2 linked regions of the Callithrix jacchus genome follow. The protein of the gene in region 2 purifies or fractionates together with the protein of the main gene of each other region. This does not show direct contact. Links are inferred from orthologs where the notes say so. Each region holds a gene or a part of one and is shown on either strand. Other genes may lie near its edges.

Region 1 (16,416 bases), on a different chromosome or scaffold from region 2:
AGAACCATTTATAATTTAGTCAGATTTGAAAGGATGAATGATTAATGTATTACTAAGGAAGGAACTACAATCCTTTGTTTAAAAAAAAGGAAGATTAATAGTTTTAGAAAGCAGTATCTTAACTGATTTTATAATTGTATATATAAGACATTTCACTTTGCTCAGCTTTTTTAAAAAACTTATTATAACCACAGATGAGCTTAAAATATGTCAACTTAGGTTTTCCCACCTCTTGAGGTTTTCCCACCTCTTGTATCTTACTGAAGAAATAAAATTTACATTGGAATTGGGAGATGACATAGGGTCTATGAGGGAAAAAAGAAACCTCTACCAGTAGTTAAAACACTAGGAAACCATTTTTTCCCTTATGATTTAAGTCCCTATATATGTTCCTTAAGATATTTTCCCATTTGCAACAATCTATAGTACTGCTACTATTACAGAAAATTGTAATACTATTATCCTAACTTTGGTATGGTATACTTCTACCATTTAAGGCACTCAACAAACACCAATAGACCCAAGGTGGTCCAAAGTGAAGTTAATCAAACTATCTGAACATAAATTTGACTTCATTTGCAATCTTAGCACTGAAAAACATCAGAGCAAGATTCCATCTCAGAAAGAAAAAATAGGTCACTAGTTTTAATTAGTACTCCTCTTGTTGCCTAATCTTTAAATTCATCAGATCTCTTTGATCTCTGTGTATCTATGAATATGATTTTATACCATTGCTGTGTCTGAGGAAACCGTACCTCTATAGTCATTTACTGAAGGTGCTACACGGATTCCTTAAATTCACTTTAGCAAAGAAACAATCTAGAATACTCTCCATATGGATACCACGCTTAAGTTGTATGGATACACAACTTTATATAGCATTATAATGCAAACTAAAAATTATTTACGCTAGCTTTAGGAAGTATTTTTAGATCAAACAAGAAATACTAGCAATTAATCACTTCATACTCCATCAGCATAATTTTCCTACCAAATAATCAGAAAAAATAATCAGAAATGGGCACTTTACCAATTTTATTCTCCCATCACAGATAAGGAAATAACATTAAATCAATATTTTCATAAGGACTAGTATACACAAGACCTTCTGAAACTTGAAAAATGTGACAAAGTGTTTTAGCTGTGATCACATATTATATGTAACAGCTTTACAGAAAACGCTAATCACAACCTGCACTTGTGCTCAAAGTAATGCATTCACTCACAGTCATTCAAATACACATTTACCCTGTAATGGGATCTGTCTACACTCTTGTCACAAAGTATGTAAACAAAATCACCAGGTCTAAAGCCTGGGAAAGTAAGTGGGAAGCAGATATTAAAAACTGTTCAGGCCTTCTTAGAAAAGCACACAGATATAACATTAAACAGTGCCTAGAATGATTGCCTTTTAAGGAGGCAGAAAATACATATACACCATAAAGTAAATAATAGAATAAACTATATAAATATATATGCCACTCTGCCACTTAACAGTCAATTGGCACTGAAACAGTGAGATTGTTTGTCATCACTAGGGAAATATTTTATAACTAAGTTGTTAACTATGTAATTGACAGAGTTTGGTTCAGTTTTACAAACAACAGATTATAAAAACTGTTTCCTTCAACAAAAGAGACAGTTATCAGGCCTTATGTGCTATAGGCTCTTTGTAAATAAGAAGAAACTGTAGCTCCAGCAAACTACCAACTCCTCACTCTACAGCTATGTATGCTACCCAACTCTCCTACTAATAAAAATGTTATTTAAGGTTTTTAGAGGAATACAAAGTATTTTTTAAAGCACTATATTCAAGCAGCTAAGCAACATAGTCTAAAATGTTGATTTACAACTGGTGTGCTAAGGTTGATTGTACAGTATGTGGCAAGTAATTTATTTCTAACAATAGAGTACTAAAGTTGGCAGGGTATTTTTAAATATAAAACTAATATTCCTGATAATATATTATCAGTCTCATGGCTGACATTCCAACATTCTTTCTTGACTGAGAGTCAAAAGACAAAGTTAGAGCTAAGAGGTCCTGGGAACAATACATGGGCCAAAGCCCATTATTATTATGAAAGAAAAAATAATGGCTACTTTTTTGGGGAAGAAAGATTATGATTGGGATGGGGCACGTTGAAAAGTTAGTGGGATGCCTGGAAAAGTTCTATTTCTTAACTTGGTTATAATTGTAAGAGTTCTAGATGTTTGCCTTATGATAACTCATTAATCTATATATTGGTATTGTGTGGTTTTCTGTATCTGGTTTCATTTACAATAAAATATTTTTAAAAACCAATAAAGCAAAAGAAATTCCAATAGCTATGAGACTAATTGAGATCTTGGTACAGCTCAATTGATCTTTTATTATCTTTTGGAAAAAGTGGGGGTACAAGTAAAAATATACTTTTAACCTCAGCTTTTCGTATGTAAAGTTAGGAGAAAACAAATACCCTATATACCACTAGGGACTTTGGTGCTGACTTAATGAAAGTCTACTTGTTAAAGTATTTTGAATATTTTAAAATACTTTGAAACTCTATAACATTCTCTGCAAATGCAAAGTACTCTTAAAACCACATAGAATAAACAATAATAGTCTCACTTCCTTGCTTAAAGCCCTTCAATGACATCATGCATTTAGTAGTAATTTTCACAATGTTCTTTGTGGAAACCTAAGGCTCCAGAGACATGCTTCAGGTGCAGGGCATCATGTACAGATATGTAGATTGTGCTCTGTGCAAGGGTACCTGGCACAAGTGGATCTAAAATCTGCCCTTCACTGTTTGCCAAGCCTTGAACCTTACTGAAGAGACATTTTTTCTTTGTACGTCAAGAGAGAGCTCCTTTTTCTAAATTGTTCAAAGATACTCTAAGTGCTAGCTGTAGCTCTGTTCAAAAGTTCCCTATTAAACAGTATCTTGTTTTTGTCAAACAATAAAAACAAACTATCTGAAAATTTTCTTCAAAGTTAAGACAAACCAGACAAACACACATATTTATAATTCCTTGATTTACAAACAGATTTGAGCATCTGAGTTCCTCTTCTGTGAGTTGCCTGTTCATATTCTTTGCCCAGGTTTCCCATCGGGAATTGTTTTGAAGTCCCAGAAGCTATTTATATATTCTAAATTAATCTCTGTCAGTTATGCACATGCTATAAATCTTCTCCCAGTATGTGAAAACTTACACATTGTAAGTGTGAATGTAAACTGGTAATAATCCTTTTGGAAACAATTTAGCAATAACCAGTGAAGATGAAGTGACATGCCAGGTGGATTGGCTCACACCTGTAATCCCAGCATTTTGGGAGACCAAGGCAGTCAGACCACTTGAGGTCAAGAGTTCAAGACCAGGCTGGCCAACATGGTAAAACCCCGTTTCTACTACAATACAAAAAATTAGCTGGGTGTGGTGGTGCATGCCTGTAATCCCAGCTACTTAGGAGGCTGAAGCAGGGGAATTGCTTGAACCTGGGAGGCAGAGGTTGCAGTGTGCCAAGACCATGCCAGTGCACTACTGCCTGGGTGACAGAGCCAGACTCTGTCTCCAAAAAAAAAGTCCCAGCTATTCTACCTCTAGGCATCTTCCTTAGGGAAACTCTCATATATGAGTACAAGGAGGTACTCACAAGGCTATTCATTAGAATACCATTAGCAATAGCAAAAAAGTAAAAACAATGATGGTCTTCATAATCTAAATAAGGTTTCACATCTAATTTTCCATCCTTTCCATCTTTTCTCTGAAATTTCACTCATTAATTTATTCATTTGCTGTCTTAAGGAATATTACTAGATACCTACTCTGACGAGACACCATGTTAGGCAGGCAGTTATGCTTAATTACCTGCAGTTGCCCGACTAAACCATGGTCTTTTACTGGCTAAAGAGACTTTTCCTGTCCTTCCTCTGGGTTTTGATGTTACTTTGTATATGTTCCTGTTAAAGTGTTTATCAGTACTCCATTATCCTTGTTATTCAATTATCTAGCTACAAAATAAGTGAAGGCAGTCCCAAATCACACACTGAATTAGATATCTGAACAAAGGGCAATTCTGTGTTTTTAGATTCCATCCAAAAATAGCCAGAAACAATGTATGTTCTAAGCTAATCTTCAGTGCTAGAATACTACTTTCTTGAGGATGTCATGAAAGTACTTGTTCATCATGGTATCCCAGCATCTAGATCATTGCCTGACACATGAGAGTCACTCAATAAACACTTGTTAAGACCAAAAAGCCCAAGCAATATTATCTGACAATAATATTTAAAAGTGAAAACAGAATCACTAATTTATATAGATGCTTTATCACTGAATAAGTAAAAACTGTTTTCATCTTAAATAAAAAGTATTTTTTCTTTCATGGCGAGTTACCCTTACATCTTCTCACCAAATACTTTTAGAACATGTTCCAGTGAATTTCTTTGCAATACAAGGATATCAAAGATTCAAAGTCAATCATTTTCTTCTCTGTGTTACTAACACAGAAAAATTCCCACATTAACTATGAAAGGCTGGAATTGCAGCATTACTATTAGATATATAATATTTTATAACATAAAGTACACTAAAAGTAAAAATAGACAAAAGAATGCCTACTATCTAAAAAATTGTACCTGTTAAAGACTGAGTAATGAAGTCACACATACACACATATACATACACAAAAGTTATTTGAATAGATTGAGTTGAGAAAATGGTATGCCCTAAAAGGCATAATAAATCTAGTATGCATCAGGCCTCATTTGTGCTATTTTCTATATTAGTGTTCTACTGCATAATATAGTTAAGAATATTTATATAAAAACAAGACAAAAAGATTTAAGCTCTCTCAGTGAAATGTAAGAGCATCAAAATGCCTTACCAAATTATCATTCCAACTAATTCTGCTCAAAGAAGAAAACAAGCTTTAGCCATTCAAGCTAGAAAAGCATTAATTACCACTTGGAAAATACTAGAAATTAACAATAGAAACAAATTTGTACTTCTAGACTTATGAAATGATTTTGATTAAAATAGGCTATTGCTTTCATTTCATTAATTTTATTTTTTAGGAATAAATGCAGGTTAATTTCAAATAGTATCTCTTTGTCCAAACAAATAATATAACATTAATACTAGCTAGGACAATATTTGTTACAGTAATTAAAAGACAGAAAGAATAATCTATGAGGAATGAATTAAGACTCTTGGATGTAGGATGGCTTGGAAATCATGCTAGTAAAAACCAGAAGATACTAGTGATTAAATTTGATGTCAACTCTAACAACTCTCTCAAACACACACACACAAAAACTCACAGTAAGGAGCTCCTCAAAGAAGCATATCAATAGTCTGGTATATTAAAAAACAATTATCATTATGAATCATAAATACAAAAAATACTTCATAGAAATATGCAAGTTAGTTTAATATAGCTTTATGAAAAATGCACAATGAAAATAATCAGTTACATTACAGTAGCTTTAATTTGGAAGGGATCTTACATATACTGGTAATCTAAATCCCTCAACAACAACAAAAAGACAAGGAAATGGAAACCCAGAGAAATTAGGTGTGTTGCTAACCATCAAACAAAATGTTAAGTGTCAGTCCCAAGAGTAGAACACAGGTCTTAAGATTTTAGTTTAGGGCTCTTTCTACCAGAATGCTATGCATTCAGTCACAGTCAACTAGAAAAAAAGTAAGTATTCATCAACACTATTCCTGCTGGAATTTAATAATCATCTTATATGCCACCCAACTACAGCTATGTTTTGATATTTCTTCCATACCCCACTTTTGGAGGTTAAGGCTCCCCTCAACATGCTCAATATTTCTCTCTTCCACTATCCTCTTGAATCCATCCTTCCTCATCTCTCAAGAATCTTGATCCATCAATAACTGCCATCTTTTTTCTATTTTCGGACTTTCTACAGGACAGCTCACATGGCAGGTGGCTTCCTTTATAGCAAGTGCAAGAGAGTGCCCAAGACAGAAGCCAGTCTTTTGTAACCTAATCTTAGAAGTGACATCCCATCATTTTTGCCAAATTTTATTCATTAGAAGGAAGTCACTGAGTCTGGGCCACACTCAAGGGAAGAGAGTTACACAAGGGAGCGAATACCAGAATCATGAGAAGCCATCTTAGAAGCTGCCTGCCACAGCTTCTAAAGAAGAAACGCATAGGGAGGCTTGCTAACCAGATACAAGGACTTCTTATGGAGCAAGCAATTAAGAAGATGTGGTATTGGCAAAAGGACAGATAAACTGACTAATGGAATATAACAGTGAACCCAGAGACAAATTAATGCATGTTTAGAACTTTGGAAAACAGCAGAAGTGATATGTCAGATAATGAGCAAAGGAAGGACTATTCAGTAAATGGAAGTAGAAAAAGTGGTTATCCATATGACAATGGTATCCCTAACCTCCTCTCACACCATTAAAAACAACAACAATGGAACTCTTAGTGAAAATATAGGTGAATATTTTTTAGACCTTTAGATAGAAAATATTTCTTAAACTAGACACAAAGATGTTGATTATAAAAGATGGATAAATATAATTATATTCAAATTAAGAACTATTATTAATTAAAAGACACCTTAAAGACAGTGAAAGATTTAAAAACTGGAAAACACAATCAAAAACTATTAATGTCAAGAATATATAAAGATTCATAGAAGTCAATGAGAAAACTAAAGGCAACCCAATAGGCAAAAGAAATGAACAGATGTTTCTTATAAATAATACATATATTAAGAAATATTCAGTATTATGATTGATGAGAGAAAGGCAAATTAAGACCACAATGAGAATAATCCATTCTGTTGGCAAAATTTAAAAGTCTGACAATACTCAACGTAGAGACAATACAGCTCCAAAGGGTCTTGATTACATTGCAGGTGAAAAGTAAATTGAGGCAACCAATTTGAAAATGTTTGAAATTACCTCCTAAAGTCAAACATTAGCAACACTCCATCATCAAGGGAGTGGATGTGAAAATGGTGGTATAATCACACAATGTAATATTATATGGCAGCCCAAAAAAGGCACAACAATGGATGAATTTTAGCAATATAATATTAAGTGTATAAGTTCAGTCATAAAAGACAAGATTTTTAAATTGAAGTTAAAAATATCTAAAATTTAAAAATTCCCAATAAACATGGAATTCAGAATGACAGTTACCTCAGGTCAGTGAGAACATGTTAAGGGACTTACAAGATTAGATGTTAGTTATAGTCAAGAACCTAGTTTTGCTTCGGGTGATGGGTACAGAGATACTTACAACATTATTAAAAATAACTAAGTAAATAAATAAAAACCAAGCATGAACTAATAATGAGAATACGTCATGAAACAAAGACATGTTTAATATAATGCTGTGTACCTAAGCTTTTTAAAAAAAGGTCCCATAAACTACATGAAACTTTCTTTGATTTCAATTAATGTTAATCATGCTCTTTACCAACTCCTATATCAAGTATGACTTCTATTACATGGTATATCTTATAATATCTATTATTTCAAATGTAATGGTCTTGCTTCCTTATCAAGAATATAAATACTTCCATAAGGCTAATATTTCTACCATACATACCGTCTCTGAAAAAGTACTGACCACAGAGTAAGTGCTAAATAAATACTTGTTCAATCCTTGATATACTTTGTATATTTGTTCCTGCCCAAATCCCATGTTGAACTGCCATCCCCAATGTTGAAGGTGGGGCCTGGTGGGAGGTATTTGGGTTATGGGCGTAAATCCCTCATGGCTAGGAGCTGTCTTCAGGACAATGAGTTCTTGTGAGATCTGGCCATTTAAAAGTGTGTGGAACCTCCCCCTCAACACATTCTCTCTCACTCCTGCTTTTGCCATATACGTGCCTGTTCTTGGTTCATCCCCTGCCATGATTATAAGCTTTCTGAGGCCTCCCTAGAAGCCACATAGATGCCAGCAGCATGCTTACTGTAAAGTCCGCAGAACTATGAGTCCCATAAACCTTTTTTTAAAGAAATAAAAAAAAAAAAAAATCTCAGATATTTATAGTAATGCAAGAACGGCTGAATACAACAGTCATATTTAACTTATTCCTCAAATAGCCAAGAGTAAAGCTATGGTTGCTGTATCCCAAACTTCTTTAAAAATACTGTATCGCTACCTTTAATGTTTCCTACTTCTTTACTTGGGAAAGGAACTTAAACCAAAATCACCTGCTCACCTGTTATGGCTGAGGGAAGCAGTGATGGGGGTAGGCACCACAGTCTGTAACCCTTCCCCTTCTATCTCAGTACCAACAAGGCAGATGAGCTGAAGTTCTGGTAATCCTACACAGTTTACTTCATGCCAGCTTTTGCCTGAAAGAGCATCATTGAATGGACAATAATGTTTATTAAAATCAAAAGATAAAAACTCCAAACTTCTGCCTAAAACTCAGCTGAGCAAATATCACTCATAACACTACCTCCTCTCTTTGCTTTTCTAGTAGTTTCTATTACTCAGTAATTCCCAATGTAAATAAATGAAGAAATTACAAAATTAACAGCAAATGCATATAAGATTGCTTATTATAATGTGAAGAATGCTATATATATCCCAATCCAATCCCCCAAACCTCTACCACAGTCCCAATAACAAAACAGTATAAACAAACAACTTACTTTCCATGAGGTCCAGGTAAACCAAGAATGCTATATAAACTTGGGTGGCATCTCCTATATCTAATTCCATCATTTCTAAATACTGAAAATTAAAATATAATTGTCAAATCGAGAAGGAAGAATTGTTTAATATTTTCTTTCAATCAACAAGTAGTCAGTCATTAAGTATATATAATCCATAAAATTCTTCTGGGTATAGTGGAAGTTAAAAGGCAATATAAAATATTATCTCTGTCTCTAAAGAACTTGCGATTGTTAAATACATGCGTACTTAACATTGTTAGGCAAATAACAATATATGACCGTGATTAAAAACCACGTAAATGGAATAAGAAACATGACACGACAGGTCAGAAGAGCTCTACTCAGAGGGACTGGTGAAAGCTTTACAGCAGAGGCAGGATAGGATACAAGTTGAGCACAGAACATTATCATTTGAGTAAATGGAGAAGTTGAGTAATAGTGCAGGTAATCACACAAAGGTGGGATTAAGTCACACGTATTCAAGGGACTGTAAAGAAACCTATCTCCCAGCAATAGAAACCTTTTTAATAAGATTTACGTTGGGACCTATTAGTAGGTACTGTGTATTTCCCTAGCCTCTTATTTATCTGTGGAGAGAGTCTGCCACAGTATCAGTCCTAGCTTCTCTACCCATTCTTTCGCACTTTAAGAGTACGGAATTATTTAATCATTAGATTTTTAAAAGGGGATTGACAAGAAACTAGAGAAAGCTGCTTCTTTCAGACAACTGATCAGCATAAGGGAAACGTGTTTCAGGGGCCTACACCTGCAGAATTCTGAAGCTGCCCAGCTATGCTGGTGACTAGGTGGATATGTGGGGCTAATGCTGAGGTGAAGTACTAGCAGACCTGCATGGGGACAGGTCCTAAGTCACATTCTCCCATCAGCTTCACTGTAACTGCACAGGTACAGGAGGATATGGGTTATTAGTTGTCTACTTCAAACATGTTGGAAAGTGACACTCAAAACATAATTTTGAGCCAGGCTGCAAGGTCTTAAGCTAAACGTGATTTTTGTCATTGAGGAAACACTGAGGATTTCTAAGCAAGAGAATAATAAAAGTGTGTTTGAGGATAATAAATCTGATACCATTTTACTGGATGAACCTATGTAATTTTTGAATGAACAAAAAGGTGAAATTGGAAAAACAAACACCCCCTATTACTTTATTATTTCTTTTCCTTTTCTTTTAAAAATCATTTTGGTCCTTCAAGAAGATAAATCAAAAGGAGAGATTTGATGGTCATGGTGTATGTACACAGCCATTAACTTCAAAATGAAAAAACTCTACAAGTATGTAAACTGAGTAACAACACCAAATCTAGATAAGGTTTTAAAAATTTGTTACTGGTGTTTAACTTATTAAGTGCTTTATAGTGCTTTCTATATGTTGAATGGCTTACAAATATTAACTAATTTAATCCTGTAGCAACCCTGTAAGTATGGACTATTAATATCCCCATTTTTCAGGTGAGGAAACTGAGGCATAATGGGATCAAACAACTTGTCCCAAATCACAAGGTTGATAAGTGACAGAATCAAGATTTAAACTGAGTCTGATTTTGAGTTCATGCTCCTAACCGTTATGCTGTCTCTCCATGCTATTGTTTCTCTTTCATGGCACTAAGTATTTCCATACTATTGTTTCTTTTTCTCACCTTTTGGAAGAATGAAGGGGACGGCATAGGAACATAAAATTAAGCAAGAGAAGCTGAAAAAGGTTAACTCTTTTCAAACATATACCTTCAAATTTTTCCGTTTTTAGACTATTATCTATGAATTATTGCTCTCTAGGAGAAGAGTACAATTCTAATAAAGTATCAGACCAGACCAGTTTTTGAGATTTTTACAAAACTCACATCTCCATTCACTTGTCTATTTACTGCTTGGAACCTTACTGGGACAAGGCAGTAATGTCTCAAGCAGAAGCACGCAGGGGACTATCTTTATCTCCCTTCCTGCTACTGTAGAAAAATACAAGTAAAATGTGAGTAGCTCTGCTTTGGGTAAGAACCTATTCAAACTTTCAAAGAAATCTGAAATATTAGGAATCTGCACCTTTGCAAAATAAAGGTGTACTCTGGACCCAAAGCTAAATGTAAATATGACTGTGCCTAAATCTTTACCATTATGGACCCCTAGAGCTTATCCATCGGCCACAAACTGTCTTGCATGGTTACTGTGAGGATTAAATGAATTCATCCCGGAAAGGGGATTTACCTAGAGAGCAAAACTAATGGAACGCTTCTTAGGAATCTCCGGCTCGAGAGGGGTGGAGTTAATGTCTGGTCCTAGGTTCCAGAATGGCTTCGGTGGCGGGTTGGGGAAGGTGTCGGAACGAATAGTTCAACTAATTTAAACAAACAAAACCGATGCTGCCTGAGGTTGGCAGCTGTGCACACCGGTCCACCTCGGTGAGGGTGGGGCGCATCCTCAGCTCTCGCGCTGAGGGAGAAAGTAAGAGGGCAGCCCGGGAGTTCTGCCTGGGCTAGGGGCCCGGACGGCGTCCTGCTCCTCTCACGCCTCCTGACCTTAGGGTGGGAGCCCATCCAGGCGTCCTCGGGGGCCCACGAGGGAGCTCCGCCGCCGTCGCCAAAGCCGTGAACACCGCCCGGACCCAGGCCGCTGCAGCCGGGGGTCGGCTCGGAATCGCCGCGCTCCTCCATGCAGCCGGTTTGGCACTCCCGTGGTGCACCGCGACCCGTGCCCGGCCAGAAACAGCTGCGCGCGCGCCTGTGGGTTCCGCTTCCTCGAGACTCGCCGTGGTTGCACGAGAAGGCTCTGAATCTGGGAGGAAAGTTGCGTCAGCCCCCCCTTCTGACCAAGGTAGTAAGAACCTGCGCGAACGCTCTCTAGTTTAGTCTCTAGTTTTGCTCTGCGTTTATTCAAATCCGAGCAAGTTCTAGCCTGAAAAATATTCAAGAGTAGCCCGCGCCTGGAAGCTCTTAATCCTCTTTAAGTCAGTGCTGCCTATAGTTCTTTGAGAAAGTTGGGGGATGTATACGTTCTCTTTGCCTTTAACAGTGGGGTCCTGGTTTCTGATTCCTGAGAACCGGAAAAGCCTTACTCAGTGCCTTGACAAAAATCTTTGAAGTAGAACCGTAGTTACAGGCTGGACCCATGTTTCAGTATTAGAGGAAACACGAGTTGCTGAATGAGTGTTCAGAAAGCTAGGATACAAACTGGCACAAGCATGTGATCTGGAAGCCAAGGATGAGGAGTTTCCGGCAGGCAGAGTAGCACATTTTAAGCATTTTTTATTTACTGTGAGCGAAATGGGAAACTGTTGGAGGCTCCTGTTATGTTTTCATAGGATCACTCTGATGTGTTGAGGATGGACTGTAGGGAGCAAGGACATAAACAGGGACTGGTGAGGAGGCTATCGCATTTACCAAGACAAGGATGACTCAAAATCCGAAGTTCCAGGCAGGACAGAAATTCAACTTTCAACCATGATAGGCTAAGACCCTACTGGACCATCCCCAGCAGAAAACAAGTTGAACACAATACAAAAAGCTGAATATACTGGAGAGTGAACAGCAGACTGGTAGGAAGGGCAAGCTTGCTTAAAGATGAGGAACTCCACAAGAACATTCCCCTCTCTGGCATTTAACTTGGGGCTAAGTGCAGTCCAGAAGTTAGGCTCAGCAGCAGCAGCAGCAGCAGCAGCAGCAGCAGCAGCAGCAGCAGCAGCAGCAGCAGGTGTGTGTATATAAAACTTATTGGTTATTCTTATCTGGGGAAGCAGAAAAGTGAAGCCAGAATAGTTTGAATTCCGAAGAGGTTAAGAAATCCCAAGGAAGGATCAGAGAGTGGATCCCCAAACTCTGTCAATCCACATCTCTGAGAGCTCCTGAACCACTCAAAACAGAATCACAGCAGCTCAGTTAAAGACAAAAAATCTGAACTGAGATCAGAGTTGTCTCCAAAGGGAGAGAGTTTGCAGTTAAAATCTAGCCAGAAAAATTACCTACGAATACAAAGGAAATAACACTTATCAGAGAAAAATAATAGAATCCACACTCTCCACTTAACACTCATAAAGTCCAGTATACTATCCCAAATTATCTGACATATGAAATTCAAGAAAATGGATTGCATACTCTAGAGTTTGACCCTGAGATGAATCAGAAGTTGAAACTGACAGATAAGGATTTTAAAGTGACCATTAAAACAATTTCAATGAAGTAAAACATGTTTTCAATGAATGAAAATCTCAAGAGACAAACAGAAAATCTCAGCAAAAAAAGAAAAAAAAAGATTTTTAAAACCAAATAGAAATTCTGAAGATTGAAAATTATAATTTTAAAAATAAAAAAATTAACTGGGTTAATTTAACAGCCAGAAAGAAATTACAGAAGAAAAAGTAGGGAACTTGAAATAGAGCAATATAAATTATTAAAAGTAAACAACAACAAGAAAAATTATCTTTAAAAAGTGAGTAGATCCACAGAGATTTGATTCAACATGCATGTAAATAACAGAAGTAGAAAAAAACAAGGGACAGAAAAAAACTGTTGAAGAAAGAGTGGCCAAAATTTCCCCAAATTTAATGAGAGACATTTGCCAGTACAAAATGCTAAATATACAACAACTAAAATAAACACAAAGAATTCTACATTTTAATCAAACTATTGAAAGTCAAAAAGATAAAGAGAAAAGCTTGAATCCATTAAAAGAAACAACATATCATACACAGGGAAAAGAAGGGCATCTATTATTGAATGAGATGTAAAGTCACACATGAAGATTCATATATTGCCCTCAAATATATTACATTTGAATGAACCTTTGCCTCCACAAAGCAGCTGCAAAACCCGAAAGAGGAAAATGGCACTGAAATTAATAGGGCCATTGAAGCATGAATCACTGAAACACTTGAATAGTGCTTGGAAGTGAATAAATCTGACTCCTAAAGATCCAAATTAGTTCATATGATGGCATTTTTAGAAGCATTAAGAGTGTTTTGTTGCTAATCTGAGTAGGGGAAAAATTTTATAAATCATTAAGGATTTCCAGCGGGATTAGGGACTATGTGAACCAGCCTCAAACATCTTCAGGAGAAGAATTTCAGCTTATGTTCAAGAAAAAAGAAATTGGAGATAGGAAAAACTAGAAGGATGAAGAAAGAACCATAAATCAAAAAAGCAACAGATAAATGCCATCCTTTGGCAAATAGATTAAATACTGTTGCTTAGAAAAAGCATGATACATTCAGGCATAAATATTACATACTTCTGACTTTTAATGTCCTTGTCTATTTAAGAGATGGAGAATGAAAAGGGAGTGTCTCTTAGCTTCCCTGTTAAGCAATGGAAACTGAAGTCTTGGTGATTGGGAATTGCTAAAAGTGAACACAAAGGATTTGGAAACACTTAGACAACCTAGTATTTACAGTGCAGAATCAAATGACTGTTGCAGCAATCTAGAGTGAAATCCCCTAGAGAACAGAGGAGAGTTTCGGTGTCTGGTAACCTGGAGGATTTCTCCTTTTGTAAAATGCTTCAATAGTTCACTTTAGAGAACCAAAGTAGTGAGAAAAAAGGCTAGATAAGAAACAACGAATAAAATCCCCTGAGTGTATTGGATTTAATAAAATTCATTGTAATCTGGCACTTGCTGACCTCATTTCCCAATGATATCCTGAGCCAGACCATTTTATTCCTACAAAAATCTGTAATGTCTAGCCAGAGACATATTAATTCAGTAAGAGTCTCAAGAGGAAATGCGAACATTAAATTGTGATGTGAATCTCTAGTGTGAAAAAAAAGAAGAAAAAGCTTTTTCACACTATTATATGAGACAGTGATCCCATGCTGAAAAATGTTGTCTAGGATTCTGGATTAGCTTTTTCATTCATTGGCTGTAAGGATGCTCATATATATCTTTTTCCTTTTTTTTTGTAACCGACACACACAATTTCCCATTCTCTGTGTTTCAAGAACAGAGAAAGATTCAAGAAAGAGAATAATTCAATATTATAAAGATGGCAATTTCCTCCAAAGTTATTTACAGATTCTAGCAATTCCAATTAAAATCCCAAGAAGGATTTTCTTAATACCTGATAAGCTGATTCTGAAATTTGGGCATAAGGGACCAAAGATAACCAAGACCCTTTTTATGAACAAAAGGAAGGAAACTCTTATGAAGTTAAAATTCTGAAATATAAAATATCTTATAAAGGTAAAGTTTTAAACAAAATTTAAATTCTTGTAAATATATCTAATTACAAGGATGTGACATTGGCACATGGATAGGTAAAACCAACGAAACAAAGTAGGGAGCCAGAAAGCAGACTCATACGAATGTGGGCAGAAGTAACACTGCAGATGCAAGAAGGGAAGGAGAGAGTGTGATTGGCTACATGGCGTGGAGGCAAACACTTTTAAATCTCTAGGAGAGAATATAAAAGAATATTTTATGACCCCAAGAGAGTGATTTCTTAAACAAGACACAAAAAACACAGACCATATGGGAAAAATTTGGCAATATAACTGTATTTCAGTTAAGAATTTCCAACACAGAGAGTGGGGTGAGGGGAAGACATCTGGAACACATAATTGAAAGAAAAGATACCCAGAATCTATAAAGAGCTCCTAAAAATCAATTAGGAATTAAAAAAAAAAACCACTCCTCGGGTTAAAAAAAAAATGAGAATAAACAGAAAAACAGATTAAAAGGCCAGCAAATATGACTTGATGTTCAGCCACATTGATTAAGAAAATGCAAATTGAGGTAAGAAGATACCTTAATTCACCAGATTAGCAACAAAAGCCAAGAGTTGGCATAAAAGTAGACCAAAGGATAGATGCACAAATCCTATGATCCAACAATTATAATCCCAGGTATATATTCTAGAGCAATTTTTTTTTTTTTTTTTTTGAGACGGAGTTTCGCTCTTGTTACCCAGGCTGGAGTGCAATGGCACGATCTCGGCTCACCGCAACCTCCGCCTCCTGGGTTCAGGCAGTTCTCCTGCCTCAGCCTCCAGAGTAGCTGGGATTACAGGCACGTGCCACCGTGCCCAGCTGATTTTTTGTATTTTTAGTAGAGACGGGGTTTCACCATGTTGACCAGGATGGTCTCGATCTCTTGACCTCGTGATCCACCTGCCTCGGCCTCCCAAAGTGCTGGGATTACAGGCTTGAGCCACCATAGAGCAATATTTTTAAATGAAATGCCAGGACCTGTTAGTGGTTGTGAAATAAATTAAGTGGGTTGAGTACAGTTTTTAAGAAGGAATTATGTAAAACATATATAAAGTTTCAATCAACAACTTGAATGAATCTCATAAAAATCTGATGTATAGTCAAACTGTTAGTTATAGAAGAGTATATAAGACATTTGATTTATATAAAATTCAAGTACAGCAGTTTCATTCATAATAACCCAGAAGTAGAAACAACCCGAATGTCTTTCCCTCTGCTGATGAATATATAAAATGATATGTCCATACAGGGGAATATTATTTAGCATTACAAAGGAATAAAGAACTCTGGCTACAACATCAATAAACCTTGAAAACAGTAAGTGAAAGAAGCCAATCACAAGGGATCACATGTTGTAGAATTCCATTTATGTGTAATGTCTAAATTAGGTAAATCTACAGAGACAAAGTAAATTAATGAGAGAGGAGGGTGAGCTGGGAGATATGAGGATTGATCACTAATGAGTATAGGTTTCTTTTTGTGGTAATAAAAATGTACTAAAATTGATTGTGATCATGTTGTATAACTATTAAAACCC
Region 2 (16,516 bases):
GTTTCTCTCTCTCTGAAGGCTGCCAGGCAGTCTCTCCGCAAAACCTCCATAGAGACTATCTTCAGCTCCAGGTTCTTTCCTCCTGGCTGGGCCCCAGGAAGACACCTTGGGCAGAGTTCGGGGTGACATTGGGCTCCAGCTGCAGCAAACAGGCCCTCCTTGCCAGGAGACCACCCCTTCAGTCTCTTCTTCACAGGTCTGCCTCCAACTTTGCCTGCGGGTTCCCCTCTGACACGCACCACCTTGAAATACCTTCTTCAAGGGGCATGGGGAACCGGGCAGCGCGGGTCCCCAAGCTTGGACTCCTTCTCCAGCCTCCAGCCGTCACGCCTCCCTCCCTCTCCCCTACTTCCCAGTCGAGCCAAGGAGAGGCTGCGCAGAAGGCCAGAGAATCACAGAAAGGGGAGTAGGGGTCATTTTCTCGTCCGTCTCAGATCATAGAGAGAAGCAAGTTGGGCAAATGACTGGAGAAAAAACAAAGGCAAGCCGAGGCCTGGGGAGAGGATGTTCCCCTGAAATGAGACGGGGCTGGACCGTGGGAGGAAGGGGAGAGGGAGGGCTGGCGGGGGCAACTGACAGCTGACAGCAGAGACACCGAGGCGGAGGCTGGAGGAACCAGGTGCGAATCTCGTGCCTCCCGGAAGGGCGGGGGATGGGGAAGGGAGGGGGACACCTGCTCACAATGGATTTTCTCATCTGCTCTGAGGTTTTGGCACCCCCCAGGCTGGTATTCTCAGTATGGTATGGTCCAGATAATTAGCAGCACCGCCAGCTCCCAGGGCGGGCTTTGGGGGTCTGCACCAGCAGCAAAACAATAAACAGTGATGCCTGATGGTGCAGCCAGAGTTGCGGAGAAATAAGTGCGGGAATCGTCAGCGCTTGGAGAGAGCTTGGAGAGGGATGAAGGAACCGAGAGAGAGGAGTGGAGGCAGCGGGGAGGGGGGAAGGGAGGACAAAGGGTGGATGAATAATGCTTTTGCAAAGGGGAGAAAGCAACACGCAGCAGGAGGAGGAAATTTGCAAAAGGAAAAAAAATTCATTTGGAGAAGGGCTGCCCCCTCACCTTGAGGTCTGCTCCAGAGATCTCCGTCTATCTCTCTCTCTCTCAATCTCTCAATCTCTCTGCTCACTCTTCTCTCTTCTCTTTCCGCTCCTTCAATTGGGAAGGGGATGGGGACAGGTGGGGGGAGGGTAGTTGGGGGCTCAAGACTGGGCTGCAAAGCTGGCCAGCTGCTGGGGGGGCAGAGGTTGTCTCTCGTTCTGTACCTCGGTCTGTGGGTGAATGTGGCTGTGTGTTGTGGAACTGCATCATAACACTGTGAGTCATCCATCCCCCCACCCCCCCTCACCTCCCACGTCAGAGCAGGGCTGGGAGACACAGGAGGCGGGTCGGAAGGAAGGGAGGGAGGGGGCAGGCTTCAAGGGATGGGGCTAGAGGAGTGCTGACAGAGGGATGTGGCTTCGATGGTGGGCAAGGGGAGAGGCAGGTTGTTAGGGAGGAAGGCAGTGTGGCCAAGGAGATAGGAAGAACCTGGGGGGAGGACGGGGCTGGGCAAGGATGCAGGGAGGGAGGCAGGGCTGGAGGAAAGGAGGTGGCAAGGCTGGCGAAGCAAGAGATGGATGCAGAGGGAGGCAGCACACACACATTTAAGATGATACACTTTCCCATTTCATCTTGGACACCAGCCCCGAAGCAGGGAAAAGACAGATGTACTAATTGTCGTGGACGGCAAACTGTGCCCCCAAACTTGTAGCAAGCCTCAAAGCTTCGGTTTAATACTCTTAAAGGAGTCATAGACCCAATGTGACATTTTACATGCAGAAACCTCTTATTGGCTACCTCCAAATTATGAGTGCTTCATGAATGGAGACACCTACATTATATGAAGTTCTCTTCTGGGCTGTAAACTTTCTGAGACAGGTCTTCTGGGAAATCACTCTCTACATTCCAGGACTGCAATGCCTACTACAGACCCTTGCATGTACATGTTTCCAAAACAGCAGTTCTTCCCACGACATTATTTTCTGCTGGCCTAGAGGTCTTAGTTCCAGAGGGAGGAACGCTGCCACCGGGAGACACAACAACGATTCCATTAAACTGGAAGTTAGGATTGCCACTTGGATACTTTGGGCTCTTCTTACTTTAAGTCAACAGGCTAGTAAGGGAATTACAGTGTTGGTTGGGGTGACTGACCCAGACTGTCAAGATGAAATCAGTCTACTACTCCACAATGGAGGTAAGGAAGAGCATGCGTGGAATACAGGAGATCCATTAAGGTGTCTCTTAGTATTACCATGCCCTGTGAGTAAGGTCAATGGAAACTACAACAGCCCAATCCAGGCAGGACTGCAAACGACCCAGACCCTTCAGGAATGAAGGTTTGGGTCACCCCACCAGGTAAAAAACCACAACCTGCTGAGGTGCTTGCTGAAGGCAAAGGGAATACAGAATGGGTAGTAGAAGAAGGTAGTCATCAATACCAGCTACGACCATGTGACCACCTGCAGAACCGGGGACCGTAATTGTCATGAATATTTCCTTCTTGTGGTACGAACATGTTTGTGCATATATACACTTGTACTAAGAAAATATCTCCATTTTACTTTTCTTTTTTGCCTTTATCGTGATAGGACTTACTGACTTCATGTCAACATTTAAGTGTTGTTATCTCTATTTAATAGTATTTGGGTTGGGGACTGGTGTGTTTCCGGTTGTATGAAGGATAGCTGTATAATGTTAAGAGAATTATGACCTTATTATAGTCTTTATCTGAAGATTATGTACGATTTCAGGAGACGTGTATGCGTTTAAGTTGACAAGAGGTGGACTTGTGCTGGTTAATATTGTCAACTTGACTGGGTTGTGGTATTGTTCTGGGGTGTGTCTAAGAGGGTACTGCCAAAGGAGATTAACATTTGAATCAATGGACTGGGAAAGGCAGACCCATCCTCAATCTGCGCGGGCACAGTCTAATCAACTGCCAGCTTGGCCAGAATAAAAGCAGATAGAAGAACATGGAAAGTCTAGACTGGCTTAGCCTCTGAGCCTACATCTTTCTCCTGTGCTGGAGGCTTCCTGCCCTCGAACTCCAAGTGCTTGGGCTTTGGGATTCGGACTGGCTTCCTTGCTCCTCAGCTTGCAGGCAGCCTGTTGTGGAACCTCACCTTGTGATCATCTGAGTCAATATTCCTTAATAACTCCCATTTATATATACATCTATCCTATTAGCTCTGTCCCTCTGGAGAACACTGATTAATACAGCAGTTGAGTTGCATCTTCAGACAAGAACCAAGTGTCTGGCTTTGGTCTCAAAGAGACTGAATTAGGATCTTAGCTCTGCTAATTACTCAGCAGGAACCACTAGGCAAATTACTGATAATCTTTGTGCCTCAGTCTTCCTCTTCTGCTAAATGAAGCTAATAATATTTACTTCCTGGAGATGCAAACTAAAGTGAGATAACATTTAAATGCCTGAAAAGCCTCTGGCGCATGATAGGCAGTAAACAGTAGTGTCATTTCAAACAGCGTTCTAGGGTGGCTCACGCCTGTAATCCCAGCACTTTGGGAGGCTGAAGCGGGCAGATTGCCTGAGGTGAGGAGTTCAAGACCAGCCTGGCTAATATGGTGAACCCCCCCCCCCCCCACTAAAAATACAAAAATATTAGGCATGGTGGCATGTGCCTGTAATCCTAGCTACTCAGGAGGCTGGGGCAGCAGAATCACTTGAACCCAGGAGGCAGAGGTTGCAATAAAAGGAGATTCCTTCAAAACAAAAACTGGCTGGGCACGTCCTGGTTAACATGGTGAAACCCCGTCTCTACTGAAAATACAAACATCAGCTGGGTGTGGTGGCGTGCACCTGTAGTCCCAGCTGCTACTACTTGGGAGGCTGAGGCAGGAGAATCTCGTGAACCTGGAAGGCTGAGGTTGCAGTGAGCCGAGATTGCGCCACTGCACTCTAGCCAGATGACACAGCAAGACTCCATCAGAAAGAAAAGCAAATAAAGGAAAGAAAGGAAAAGAAAGAAGGAAGGAAGGAAAGAAAGAAAGAAGGAAACCAAAACAGTATTCTCAATGTATGACCCCCAAAACCCAGGGAGGATTTATTATTAAATTCTGATATCTCAAGAGACACATGCTAAATTTTTGTCTTATGAAGAAATGACATCTTTTGTTGCTACTTTTCTAGTAGCTTCCAGTTGAATTTCATTTGACTCAGAATTCATTTCTCATGGGGTGCTGTCCTGTGCATGTTACTAAAGTATGTGAACACAAAACACATCCCCTAAGACAAAATCCCTGATTTCTAACAGAGGCTAGCATTTAGCAAGTGAAATGCGACACAGATAGGGACTTGTAGAAAGCAGTGCTTGTGGGTGGTTTGTTTTTCTTCTCACATGTAAGGCAGGGAAATGTGGGTAATGGGAGACATTGCTGGTTGAGCATGAAAATAAAAAGGTATTCTAAATATTTAATCAGGGAAGATTCTGGGGTTTAAAGTAAATCTGAAAAGACAACGTGGGTATCTTGAGGGAGTACCAGGTGTGAAATTGAGAAAAAAAGCTAGGTAAAGAAAGCAGCGAGAAGTGCTCTCTTGTCTGGGCAGCAGAAGAGAAAGGAAATAAAAGTAGAAATTTGAAGAGCCATTGTTGAAGAGAACAATGAGAAGTGGGAAAAGGCAGATGATTAGTTTTCAGGGCATGGATTGAAAGTTCTTTTTCTTTTTTTGAGACGGAGTTTCACTCTTGTTACCCAGGCTGGAGTGCAATGGCGCGATCTCGGCTCACCGCAACCTCCGCCTCCTGGGTTCAGGCAGTTCTTCTGCCTCAGCCTCCTGAGTAGCTGGGATTACAGGCACGTGCCACCATGCCCGTATAATTTTTTGTATTTTTAGTAGAGACGGGGTTTTCACCATGTTGACCAGGATGGTCTCATTCTCTTGGCCTCATGATCCACCTGCCTCAGCCTCCCAAAGTGCTGGGATTACAGGCTTGAGCCACTGCGCCCAGTCCTTCTTTTTTTTCTTCTTCTTCTTGAAACGGAGTCTTCTTCTGTTGCCCAGGCTGGAGTGCAATGGAGAGATCTCAAATCACTGCAACGTCTTCCAGGTTTAAGCAAGTCTCCCACCTCAGTCTCCCAAGTAGCTGGGATTACAAGCATGCACCACCACACCCAGGTAATTTTTGTATTTTTAGTAGAGATGGGGTTTCAACATGTTGGTCAGGCCAGTCTTGAATTCCTGACTTCAAGTGACCCGCCTGCCTTGCCTTCCCCACGTGCTGGGATTATAGGCAGAGCCACAGGGCCCAGCCGGGATTGAAAGTTTGGAAGCAGGCTGGGTGCAGTTGCTCAGGCCTGTAATCCCAGAACTTTGGGAGGCTGAGGCAGGCAGATCACCTAAGGTAAAGAGTTCCAGACCAGTCCGGCTAACATGACAAAACCCCGTCTCTACTAAAATGCAAAAATTATCTGGGCCTGGTGGCAGGCACCTGTAATCCCAGCTACTCAGGAAACTGAGGCTGGAGAATTGCTTGAACCTGGGAGGTGCAGCCTGTAGTAAGCCGAAATTGAGCCACTTCACTCCAGCCTGGGCAACAAGAGCAAAACTATGTCTTAAAAAACTTTTTTTAAAAAGAAAATTTGGAAGCAAGGATACCAATGAATTTAAATCAACTCAGGAAACATGATCAAGAATCTAGCAGGAGAGGAGAATATGAACATTTTGATGACAGTATTGTTCGGGGGTGGGGCAGAAATGGCAGGAGTGCTTGCTGAAAGATTAAAAGTGAGAAAAAGAGCTGGGCGAGGAGGCTCACACCTGTAATCCCAGCACTTTGGGAGGCCAAACTGGGTGGATCACTTGAGGTCAGCCTGGCCAATATGGTGAAACCTCGTCTCTACCAAAAATACAAAAATTAGCCGGGCATGGTGATGCACACCTGTCATCCCACTACTCGGGAGGCTGAGGCAGGAGAATTGCTTAAACCCTGGAGGCAGAGGTTGCCGTGAGCCGAGATCGTGCCACAGCACTCCAGGCTGGGCCACAGAGCAAAACTCCATTTCAAACAACAACAACAAAACCTAATGCATACATGTTGAATGAATGAAATAATTAAAGCAAACCATCAGAGAAAACTCGGAAGTGACATGTGAGGATAGCACTGCTTGGGGAGTGTTGCTAAGTAGGGCCAGCAGAAGAAAATCTTCCTGGCGAACCAGAAAATCTTCCCAGTCTCCTCAATATGAATTAACTACGTGAGCCAGACTGAAAAAAGTACTCACCTGTAAAGTGGAGATGACAATTGCAGTACGTACTGCATAGGATTCTGGTGATAATTAAATGAATTTACGCCTGAAAAAGGTCTAACAATAATAAATGTGTGTGTGTTTTTGTGAAACGGAGTCTCGCTCTAGGATTGCAAGTGTGAGCCACCGCACCCAGCCTAAATGTCTACTTTTTTTTTCCTTTTTTTTTTAATGTTTACTATTATTATAACTGGACTCAGACTCAGAAACTCTGGGTTTGAGTCCTAGCTCTACTAATGACTGAATTCGTTTGGCTAATCCCTGCACCATCTTAGCCTCCTCCCCCGTCTGAAATTGTATACAAGAAAGCTGACTTTACAGGGCGGCTTTGAAAGAAGATACCTGAAAGGGTTTGAAAGACCGTAAGTATTGCACCAATGAATGGTATTATAGCCCCTTCCCCCCAGCCTATAAAAAAAAAAAAACGTAAAAGCTGAGATCAGATTTTTGCCTGTAGTTAGCACTTTACAGGCACAATCCTGCAATGGTCAAAACAACTTTAAGAGGTTGGGCACTGTTATTATTCCCACTTTGCAGACAAAAAACGGTCAGGCTTGAGCCCAGGAGGTCGAGGCTGCAGTGAGCCATGTTCGTGGCACTGTCCTCCAGCCTGGGCGAGAGACCGAGGCCCTGTCTCAAAAACAAAAAGAAAAAAATGATCTCAGTGAGATGAAGCCTGTAATTTGCTCAAAGTCACACAGTGATGTAAGCAGTATAGCAAATAATATAAAATTCCAAAGCCCAATTTAGTAAAAAGAGGATTACAGACGTGGTGGAACCTGTTGGCTGCGGAGCAAAAGACTGACCTTCTGTAACTGTCAGGGATTTATGGAGGCAAATGAGTCTCCAACAAAAATCCTCGTTTTGTGGGAGAGAGAAGATTATTGGGTAATGACTGATTTGTAGCTGGAAGAAATCATCGGATTTTTATTTTTCATTGAAGAAAAAAATGTTTAAATGCCTTCCATGTGCCAAGCACTGTGTCAGGTGGGAGATGACAGCTCCATGCAGCCTCTGTCGGGCTGTTTTCCTCCGCTTTCCCTACCCCTAGTTTTCCCCCTTCCCAAACAAGATTTTGTGGTTCGTGGCTTGTCCAGGCAAGCAGGCCGTTGGGGGCCTAGACGGTGAATCCCCCTCTCTTCCGGGCCGCTCTTCCCTTTTCTGGGCTGCAGGAGAGCAGGAACTCTGGGGCGAGATCCCGCCGCTTGACGCTCACTGCAGAAGCCGGGTCCCCGGACCTGTCTCTGCCCAACGCGGGGTCGCAACGGTCACGCCTCCTCACCCATCCCCGCCGGCTTCCTGAACAATGTCGGCCGCCGCCCCTCCCACCTTTGGCGTCACATTCAAAACAATCCTTTGACTGCAACTCCCAGAAGGCCGAGCGGCTGAGAGAGGGCACCCGCTCTCGGTTGTTCCGGAAAACTACACGTCCCAAGGGGCAGCGCGCTATCGCGTGTCCTTTCCCAGCGCGAGTGCGGAACTGCGTTTGTTTCCGGCGTGGGTACGGACAAGAACCGCTTGTAGTTTGGTTTAAGTTCTGCACGGGAGGACCTTCTGGGTTTACCTGTTGGGCTCCTGGCTGTGCAGGTGAGTTTAAAAAGGGCAGGAACGCAACTGTCGCCTTCTTGGAGTCTAAGGAGGTTTTGGTGTCTGGGGAGGTTGGGACAAATGCCGAACCTAGAGCTGCGGTCCAGGATCAGAAATAATTCGTATCATTTCCTTGTCGTTTTCTAGTTTACGAAGTGCTTTTTTTCCTCCCACAATTCCTATAAACCCCAAGAACACAGTACTTGAGGAATTGTGCTTCCAGTCGACAGCTTCAGAGGTTCAAAGAAGTTAAGTGAGTCTCTAAAGATACTACTAGTAGTTGCAGAATCGAGGCTTATGCTGTTTTCTGCGTTCAAACCTGATGTCCTCTGCTTTGCATCCGTATTGCAGACACCCTTTCCTGTTGACTAAGATGGATGGGGTGTGGGCATCTGTTATATTCTTAAGTCAGGCGTTTACCAATAGAGTGATGGAGGGGGTAAGGTCTTACATTCTGGGGTGGGGGCGGGGAAAACACAATATATAGTGAGACAGATGGTGATAAGAGATATGGAGAGAATTAAAGCAAGGTAAGGGGAAATATTCATTGCCTGGTTTGTTTGGTTTTTTGGTTTGTTTCCTTTTTTTTTTTTTTTGACACAGAGTCCCGCTCTGTTGCCCAGGCAGGAGTGCAGTGGTGAGATACCGGGTCACTACAACCCTGTAACCTCCGCCTCCTGGGTTTAAGCGATTCTCCTGCCTCAGCCTCCCAAGTAACTGGGACTACAGGTGCCTGCCACCATGGCTGGCTAACTTTTGTATTTTTTAGTAAAAACGAGATTTCGCCATGTTGGCCAAGCTGGTCTCGAACTCCTGACCCCAAGTGATCCACCCGCTTTGGCCTCCCAAAGTGCTGCGATTACAGGGGTGAGCCATTTTTTGCCAGACCTGGCCACTTTTTACCTTTTTTGTAGAGACGGGGTTTCACCATATTGCCCAGGCTGGTCTTGTACTGGTGATCTCAAGGGATCCACCCAACTCAGCCTCCCAAAGTGCTAGGATTACAGGCCTGAGACACTGTGCCCGGCCCATTGGATGATTTTTTTTTTTTTTTTTTTGAGACAGAGTCTTGCTCTGTTGCCCAGCCTGCAGTGCAGTGGAACAATCTCGGCTCACTGCAACCTCTGCCTCCTGGGTTCAAGCGATTCTTCTGCCTTGGCTTCCCAAAGAGCTGGGATTACAGGCACCCACCACCATGCCTGGCTAATTAAAAAAAAATTTTTTTTTAAATTTTTAGTAGAGACGGGGTTTCACCATGTTGGCCAGGCTAGTCTTGAACTCCCGACCTTAAGTGATCCAGCCACCTTGGCTTCCCAAAGTGCTGGGATTACAGGCATGAGCCACCACACCTGGCCACATTGGATGATTTTTAATAGAGGACTCACTTATAATTAGGTCTGATACTTAATTTGTGTTCTAGGTGCAGCAGCTACACGGAAGAGATGGGGGAAGAGGCTAATGATGACAAGAAGCCAACCACTAAATTCGAACTAGAGCGAGAAACAGAACTTCGCTTTGAGGTGGAGGCATCTCAGTCAGTTCAGTTGGAGTTGTTGACTGGCATGGCAGAGATCTTTGGCACAGAGCTGACCCGAAACAAGAAATTCACCTTTGATGCTGGTGCCAAGGTGGCTGTTTTCACTTGGCATGGCTGTTCTGTGCAACTGAGCGGCCGCACTGAGGTGGCTTATGTCTCCAAGGACACTCCTATGCTGCTTTACCTTAACACTCACACAGCCTTGGAACAGATGCGGAGGCAAGCAGAAAAGGAAGAAGAGAGAGGCCCCCGAGTGATGGTAGTGGGCCCCACTGATGTGGGCAAGTCTACAGTGTGTCGCCTTCTGCTCAACTATGCAGTGCGTTTGGGCCGCCGTCCCACTTATGTGGAGCTGGATGTGGGCCAGGGTTCCGTGTCCATCCCTGGTACCATGGGGGCCCTCTACATTGAGCGGCCTGCAGATGTGGAAGAGGGTTTCTCTATCCAGGCTCCTCTTGTGTATCATTTTGGTTCCACCACTCCTGGCACCAACATCAAGCTTTATAATAAGGTCAGAGCCAGAGAAAGGTCGGGTGGAGAGAAGGGTTGTTATCAGCGTAGGAAACTGTGGGGAAGTTTATTAGTTAAAGCTGTATTTTCTCAGCTGTTGTTTCTGCTGCATTCTTTCAGAAAAGGCAGTTCCAAATATAAGTCAGTCTCAGATTGTTAAACATTTCTGTGGATCTATTCTTTGTAATTTGTTAGATTTCCACCTAGGGTGTAAAACAGGAGGCAGAAGTAGCAACATAAAAATTAAATCCATATTATGGGGTCAAAACTACAAACATTGGAAATGTCATTTTTCAAGCTGGGTGCAGTAGCTCATGCCTGTAATCCCAGCACTTTGGGAGGCCGAGACTGGTCAATCACCTGAGGTCAGGAGTTCGAGATCAGCCTGGCCAACATGGGGAACCCTCATCTCTTACTAAAAATACAAAAATAGCTGGGCGTGGTGGCAGATGCCTGTAATCCTAGCTACGCGGGAGGCTGAGGTCAGAGAATCATTTGAACCCATGAGGCAGAGGTTGCCGTGAGCCGAGATTGTGCCACTGCACTCCAGCCTGGGCAACAGAGTGAGACTTCTTTTTAAAAAAAAAAAAAAAAAAAATCATTTTTCTTATGTCTAATAGCACTTATTCTAAAGAGGAACAAAGTAGCCATGGGTTTTTCTGGGTGTTTTTGTTCTTACCTGGATCTTCTCTTTTGCAGATTACATCTCGTTTAGCAGATGTGTTCAACCAAAGGTGTGAAGTGAACAGAAGGGCATCTGTGAGTGGCTGTGTCATTAATACCTGTGGCTGGGTCAAGGGCTCTGGTTATCAGGCTCTGGTGCATGCAGCCTCAGCTTTTGAGGTGGATGTCGTTGTGGTTCTGGATCAAGAACGACTGTACAATGAACTGAAACGGGACCTCCCCCACTTTGTACGCACCGTGCTGCTCCCTAAATCTGGGGGTGTGGTGGAACGCTCCAAGGACTTCCGGCGGGAATGTAGGGATGAGCGTATCCGTGAGTATTTTTATGGATTTCGAGGCTGTTTCTATCCCCATGCTTTCAATGTGAAATTTTCAGATGTGAAAATCTACAAAGTTGGGGCACCCACCATCCCAGACTCCTGTTTACCTTTGGGCATGTCTCAGGAGGATAATCAGCTTAAGCTAGTACCTGTCACTCCTGGCCGAGATATGGTGCACCACCTACTGAGTGTCAGCACTGCTGAGGGGACAGAGGAGAACCTGTCTGAGACAAGTGTAGCTGGCTTCATTGTGGTGACCAGTGTGGACCTGGAGCATCAGGTGTTTACTGTTCTGTCTCCAGCCCCCCGCCCACTGCCTAAGAATTTCCTTCTCATCATGGACATCCGCTTCATGGATCTAAAGTAGAGATCAGCAGGAAGCCTTGCTGCCTGGGACTTAGAGATCTGGCCATCCTAGAGGCAGATGAGCTGAGAGACTCTTTTGGGGCCACCTGACCAGTAAACTGTGGACTAGTAGAAAGTATATATTCTACCTCTAAAAACAGGTAGTGGTAACCTGACTCTTCTATTCTTGAACCAAAAGGAAAACCATGAGACTGTAATTGGTTTCTTAGCCTAAGATACCACTTTGAATTCTCCAAGACCCTGGAGAATTACATTTCTTTCACTGTGTTACTATGTGGTTTTTAAACATCACTGCTTTCTATTCCACATATGGTACTTACTCATTTATCTAAAATGAAAGTGTGAATTAGAGGGACTCTTTCCAATAAAGTTCAAACTTAGAAAAATTAATATATATTTTTGCCATATCATAGAAGTTGGTGTAATTTATTTTTTTCCCCTAAGCATTATAGAAACATTGTTGGAATGATTTATTGCTAAAATGCTTAGAGGAGGGCAAAACCAAGAAACCTACCTGTGAGCCAAGTGAGTTCTTAATGATAGTTACCCTTGCCTCTGCGCTTAGGTAAATGGTAAATCTGCTGTCAGTGCTGGATTTACTATGGGGAGTTAGAAGCTGGTGATAATCTTGGAATAAGATTTCATATCTAATTATTTTCCAGAGATAGCTCATTTCCTCTCCAGTACAGCTATCCTTCTTGTCTATTTGATTGGAACTAGGCCCTAAGTCAAGGTGTAACTTGAGCTTTCAGGTGGTAAGAAGCTGGGAAAGCCCATTCTTTTTGATCTCTTGCAAATTAGTTTGGTGTCCCTGGTTTGGACTTGAATTACTTAATAAGTATCTGATGCTGTCCATCGATTCCTTCTTTCCATAAATATTTGCTGAGGACCTACTGTTTGTCAGGAAAAACGTTTTATGGAGCTTACATTATAGAATAAATTTAAAAAGGCAAGTGCTATAGAGAGGCTTCAATTTGGGGGATTTAAGACAGAGTGAATGGAGGCTACTTTGAGTGGTTAGGAAACGCCCTTCCTGAGCACACATTTTGGGCTAAGACTTGAATGGCTGTGTGAAGTCTGGGGCAAAACCTTCCTGGTGAAAAAAACCCTAATAAAGGAACAAGCTTGATGAGTTTGGTGAAGAGAAAATCCAGTATGGTTGAAGCATAGTGAACTAAGGGAGACTAAAACAGAGGATGGAGAGGGCAGCAAGGACCGGATAATGTAGGGCTTTTGTAACTCAGGGTGAAGAATGGAATTTTTGGCCTAGGTGCAGTGGGTGGCGGCCATGCCTGTAACCCCAGCCACTCGGGAGGCCAAGAATCCCTTGAACCCGAGAGATGGAGGTTGCAGTAAGCTGAGATTGCATCACTGCACTCCATTCTAGGTGACAGAATGACACTGTGTCTCAGTCCTTTTTTTTCTGAGATGGGGGTCTCAGCCGAGTGTGGTGGCTCATGTCTGTGATCCCAGCATTTTGGGAGGCCGAGGTGGGTGGATCACTTGAGATCAGGAGTTCAAGACCAGCCTGACCAACATGGTAAAACCCCGTCTCTACTAAAAATACAAAAATTAGCTGGGTGTGGTGGTGTGCACCTGTGGTCCCAGCTACTTGGGAGGCTGAGGCACGAGAATTGCTTGAACCTGGGAGGTGGAGGTTGCAGTGAGCTGTGATCGCACCACCACATATCCAGCCTGGGTGACAGAGCAAGCCTCCATCTTAAAAAAAAAAAAAAAAAAAAAAGGCTGAGTTGGGTGGCTCATGCCTTAATCTCAGCACTTTTGGAGGCCGAGAGGGGCAGATCACTTGAGGTCAGGAGTTCAAGACCAGCATGACCAACGTGGTAAAACCCCATCTCTGCTAAAAATACAAAAATTAACCAGGTGTGGTGGCTGGCACCTTTAATCCCAGCTATTCCAGAGGCTGAGGCAGGAGAATTGCTTGAACCCAGGAGGAAGAGGTTGAAGTGATCTAGGTTGTGCCACTGCACTCCAGCCTGGGTGACAAGAATGAACCCGTTTCAACAAAAACGAACAAACATACATAAAAAGATTGTTGGTTGGTTTGTTGCTGAAAAGCAGGGCATTCCTCTCTGATTGCTTCTAAACAAACCCCAGGCAGCATTTTGTTCTTGTTTGCATGTTTATTTACTAGTGAGTTGAACTAAAAATGACACAGTGGTTTGCCATCTATAGGCGTGAGAAAATGCAAGTGAAGACAATTGGAAGAAGTGCAGATAAGCTACACTAGAAAAACTATAAAGGGCCAGGTGCAGTGGCTCATGCCTGTAATTCTAGCACTTTGGAAGACTGAGGTAGGAGGATTGCTTTAACCTAGCAGTTTGAAACCAGCCTGGGCAATATATAGTGAGACCTCAACTAAACAAAAATCTTAAAAAATTAGCAAACCATGGTGGCATATGCACCTGTAGTCCCAGCTACTCACGAAGCTGAGGTTGAGGCCATTTTTTTTTTTGGAAAGTAACTCTGGCTATTACATAATGGCCAGAGGATTGCTTGAGAATGGAAGTGGGAGGTTGCAGTCAGCTGAGATAGCTCCACTGCACTCCAGCCTGGATGACAGTGCCAGACTCTGTCTCAAAAAAGAAAAACAAAACAGGCTGGCTGTGGTGGCTTATGCTGGTATTTCCAGCATTTTGGGAGACCAAAGCAGGTGGATCATCTGAGGTCAGGAGTTTGAGACCAGCCTGGCCAACATGACAAAACCCTGTCTCTACTAAAAATACAAAAATTAGCTGTGTGTGGTGATGCGTGCCTATAATCCCAGCTACTCGGGAGGCTGAGGAAGGAGAATCACTTGAGCCCAGGTTGCAGTGAGCCAAGATCACACCACTGCACTCCAGCCTGGATGACACAGGGAGACTCTGTCACTAAAACAAAACAAAACAAAACAAACCACCAACAAAAAACAAAACAAAAAACCTCTAAGGTATTAATCGATAAACATATTAAAGTAATTTGAACTTTGGGTGGTCTGGATATCCCACTGTTTTAGCCAGATTTTACTTTGGATACTTTTCAGAAGTAGCTGGCACTTCAAACCTTATGTTCTATTAAATGTTCTTTCCAAGAAATACTTCAAGTGATCCCAAGGAAAACTGGACCAGTGGAATCTCTCTCTCCACTTCGGGATAGTGATTATACCTCTGTTAGTGTTCATCCACCTGGCAATCAAGCTAGTATCTCAGGATAGTTTGCTTGGTTGGATGGTGGAAGACTGATTTTTTTTCCCCATTTAGCACTTTAGCCAAGAGACACCATTGTTTACGAGTTATTAGACAGCTGAAAGGAAAATTAAAATGCCTAATTTGTGAAGTGGAGGAAATCAGGAAGTCCTAAAATCAAAGAAAAATATGGAACAGAAAAATGAAATCTGACTTCATCTTAAAGAAACATGATTTACAGACAGAAAATGCCAATATCAGGCTGGGCACCGTGGCTCATGCCTGTAATTCCAGCACTTTGGGAGGTCGAGGCAGGAGGATCATTTGAGATCAGGAGTTCCAGACCTCTCTGGCCAACATGGCGAAACCCCATCTCTACTAAAAATACAAAAATTAGCCAGGTGCAATGGTGCACGCCTGTGATCTCAACTACTTGGGAAGCTGAGGCATGGGAATTGCTTGAACCTGTGAGAAGGAGGTTGCCTGAGCTGAGAACCAGCTACTGCACTCCAGCATGGGTGACAGAGCAAGACTCTCTCAAAAAATAAAATCCCAATATTGTATCGTCAATAATGCCTTACATTTACCTTTCACATGGTCTAAAGAGGTGTTTTGTCTTTTTTTGATGGAGTCTTTTTCTGTTGCCCAGGCCAGAGTGCAGTGGCAAAATTTTGGCTCACTGCAACCTCTGCCTCCTGGGTTCAAGCGATTCTCCCGCCTCGCCTCCCAAGTAGCTACAATTACCGGCACCTGCCACCACGCCCCGCTAATTTTTGTATTTTTAGTAGAGATGGGGTTTCACCATGTTGGCCAAGCTGGTCTCGAACTCCTAACCTCGTGATCTGCCTGCCTCGGTCTCCCAAAGTGCTAGGATTACAGACGTTAGCCACCGCGCCTGGCCAAATCTAAAGAGTTTTAAAAATACAGAGTCGTGCCGGGCGCGCTGGCGCGTGCCTGTAGTCCCAGCTACTTGGGAGGCGGAGGTGGGAGGATCGCTTGAGCCCGGGAGTTCTGGGCTGTAGTGTGCTATGCCGATAGGGTGTCTGCACTAAGTTAGGCATCAATATGGTGACCTCTCGGGAGCCGGGGGTCGCCAGGTTGCCTAAGGGGGGGCGGAAACGGAGCAGGTCAAAACTCCCGTGCTGATCAGTAGTGGGATCGCGCCTGTGAATAGCCACTGCACTCCAGCCTGGGCAACATAGTGAGACCCTGTCTCTTTAAAACAAAAATACAAAGTCGTTATAAAGAACTCTCAAGTGTGTTGCAATAAATGCTGGATTAATGACGTTAACAAGAATAAACGCCGGACGCGGTGGCTCACACCTATAATCCCAGCACTTTGGGAGGCCGAGGCGGGTGGATCGGAAGGTCAAGAGATCGAGACCATCCTGGTCAACAAGGTGAAACCCCGTCTCTACTAAAAATACAAAAATTAGCTAGGCATGGTGGCGCGTGCCTGTAGTCCCAGCTACTCGGGAGGCTGAGGCAGGAGAATTGCTTGAACCCAGGAGGCGGAGGTTGCGGTGAGCCGAGATCATGCCATTGCAGTCCAGTCTGGGTAACAACGGCGAAACTCCACCTCAAAAACAAAAACAGAAAACAAGAATAAACTAGAACTGATAATATACGCCATGTATAGGAAGGAACTAGACTAGACTCCAGAAAACTGGCGAATTTAGTTCTCCTTTACCTTGCTGTCTAATGCTAAAGTGCCAGAACCACAGTAATGCAAGCAACATTTGAGACCAAACCCGAGAACAAGGCCCAGGATTTTACAGGTGAAGGGCTTCGGCTTCAGGGAAGTGGCTCCTTAAACACCTTTTTGAGGGGCCTTTATGTAATAGCCAGTTACTTCCCAAAAAAGAAATGGCCTCGAGCTGAATGGGGAGAGAACACGTGGCATTGCTATTGCGTTCACAGCTGTCTTGGGCTAATTAGGGCAAAGTGTAGCACAGTGACCTAAGCATTGTTAGATCGCTGGGGACAGGAGCTATTCTAGAGAACTTTTTGCTTTTAACTT

The links.
Region 1: the proteins of CLP1 (region 2) and TSEN15 purify together in Homo sapiens (affinity purification with mass spectrometry; 4 studies listed by BioGRID and IntAct, counting the BioPlex papers as one, with this or other methods). This does not show direct contact. The link is inferred for Callithrix jacchus from reciprocal best matches to the Homo sapiens genes CLP1 and TSEN15.

What each region holds. Positions count from the first base shown.
Region 1 is NC_133519.1:42,219,916-42,236,331, reverse strand, and holds the start of TSEN15 (tRNA-splicing endonuclease subunit Sen15), read right to left. Parts: upstream 11,369-16,416; 5' UTR 11,337-11,368; coding exon 11,202-11,336; intron 8,729-11,201; coding exon 8,647-8,728; intron 8,344-8,646; coding exon 8,208-8,343; intron 1-8,207. UniProt on the Homo sapiens protein: Non-catalytic subunit of the tRNA-splicing endonuclease complex, a complex responsible for identification and cleavage of the splice sites in pre-tRNA. It cleaves pre-tRNA at the 5' and 3' splice sites to release the intron.
Region 2 is NC_133511.1:115,231,239-115,247,754, forward strand, and holds CLP1 (polyribonucleotide 5'-hydroxyl-kinase Clp1), read left to right. Parts: upstream 1-7,795; 5' UTR 7,796-7,894; intron 7,895-8,041; 5' UTR 8,042-8,147; intron 8,148-9,314; 5' UTR 9,315-9,336; coding exon 9,337-9,942; intron 9,943-10,640; coding exon 10,641-11,312; 3' UTR 11,313-11,697; downstream 11,698-16,516. UniProt on the Homo sapiens protein: Polynucleotide kinase that can phosphorylate the 5'-hydroxyl groups of double-stranded RNA (dsRNA), single-stranded RNA (ssRNA), double-stranded DNA (dsDNA) and double-stranded DNA:RNA hybrids. dsRNA is phosphorylated more efficiently than dsDNA, and the RNA component of a DNA:RNA hybrid is phosphorylated more efficiently than the DNA component.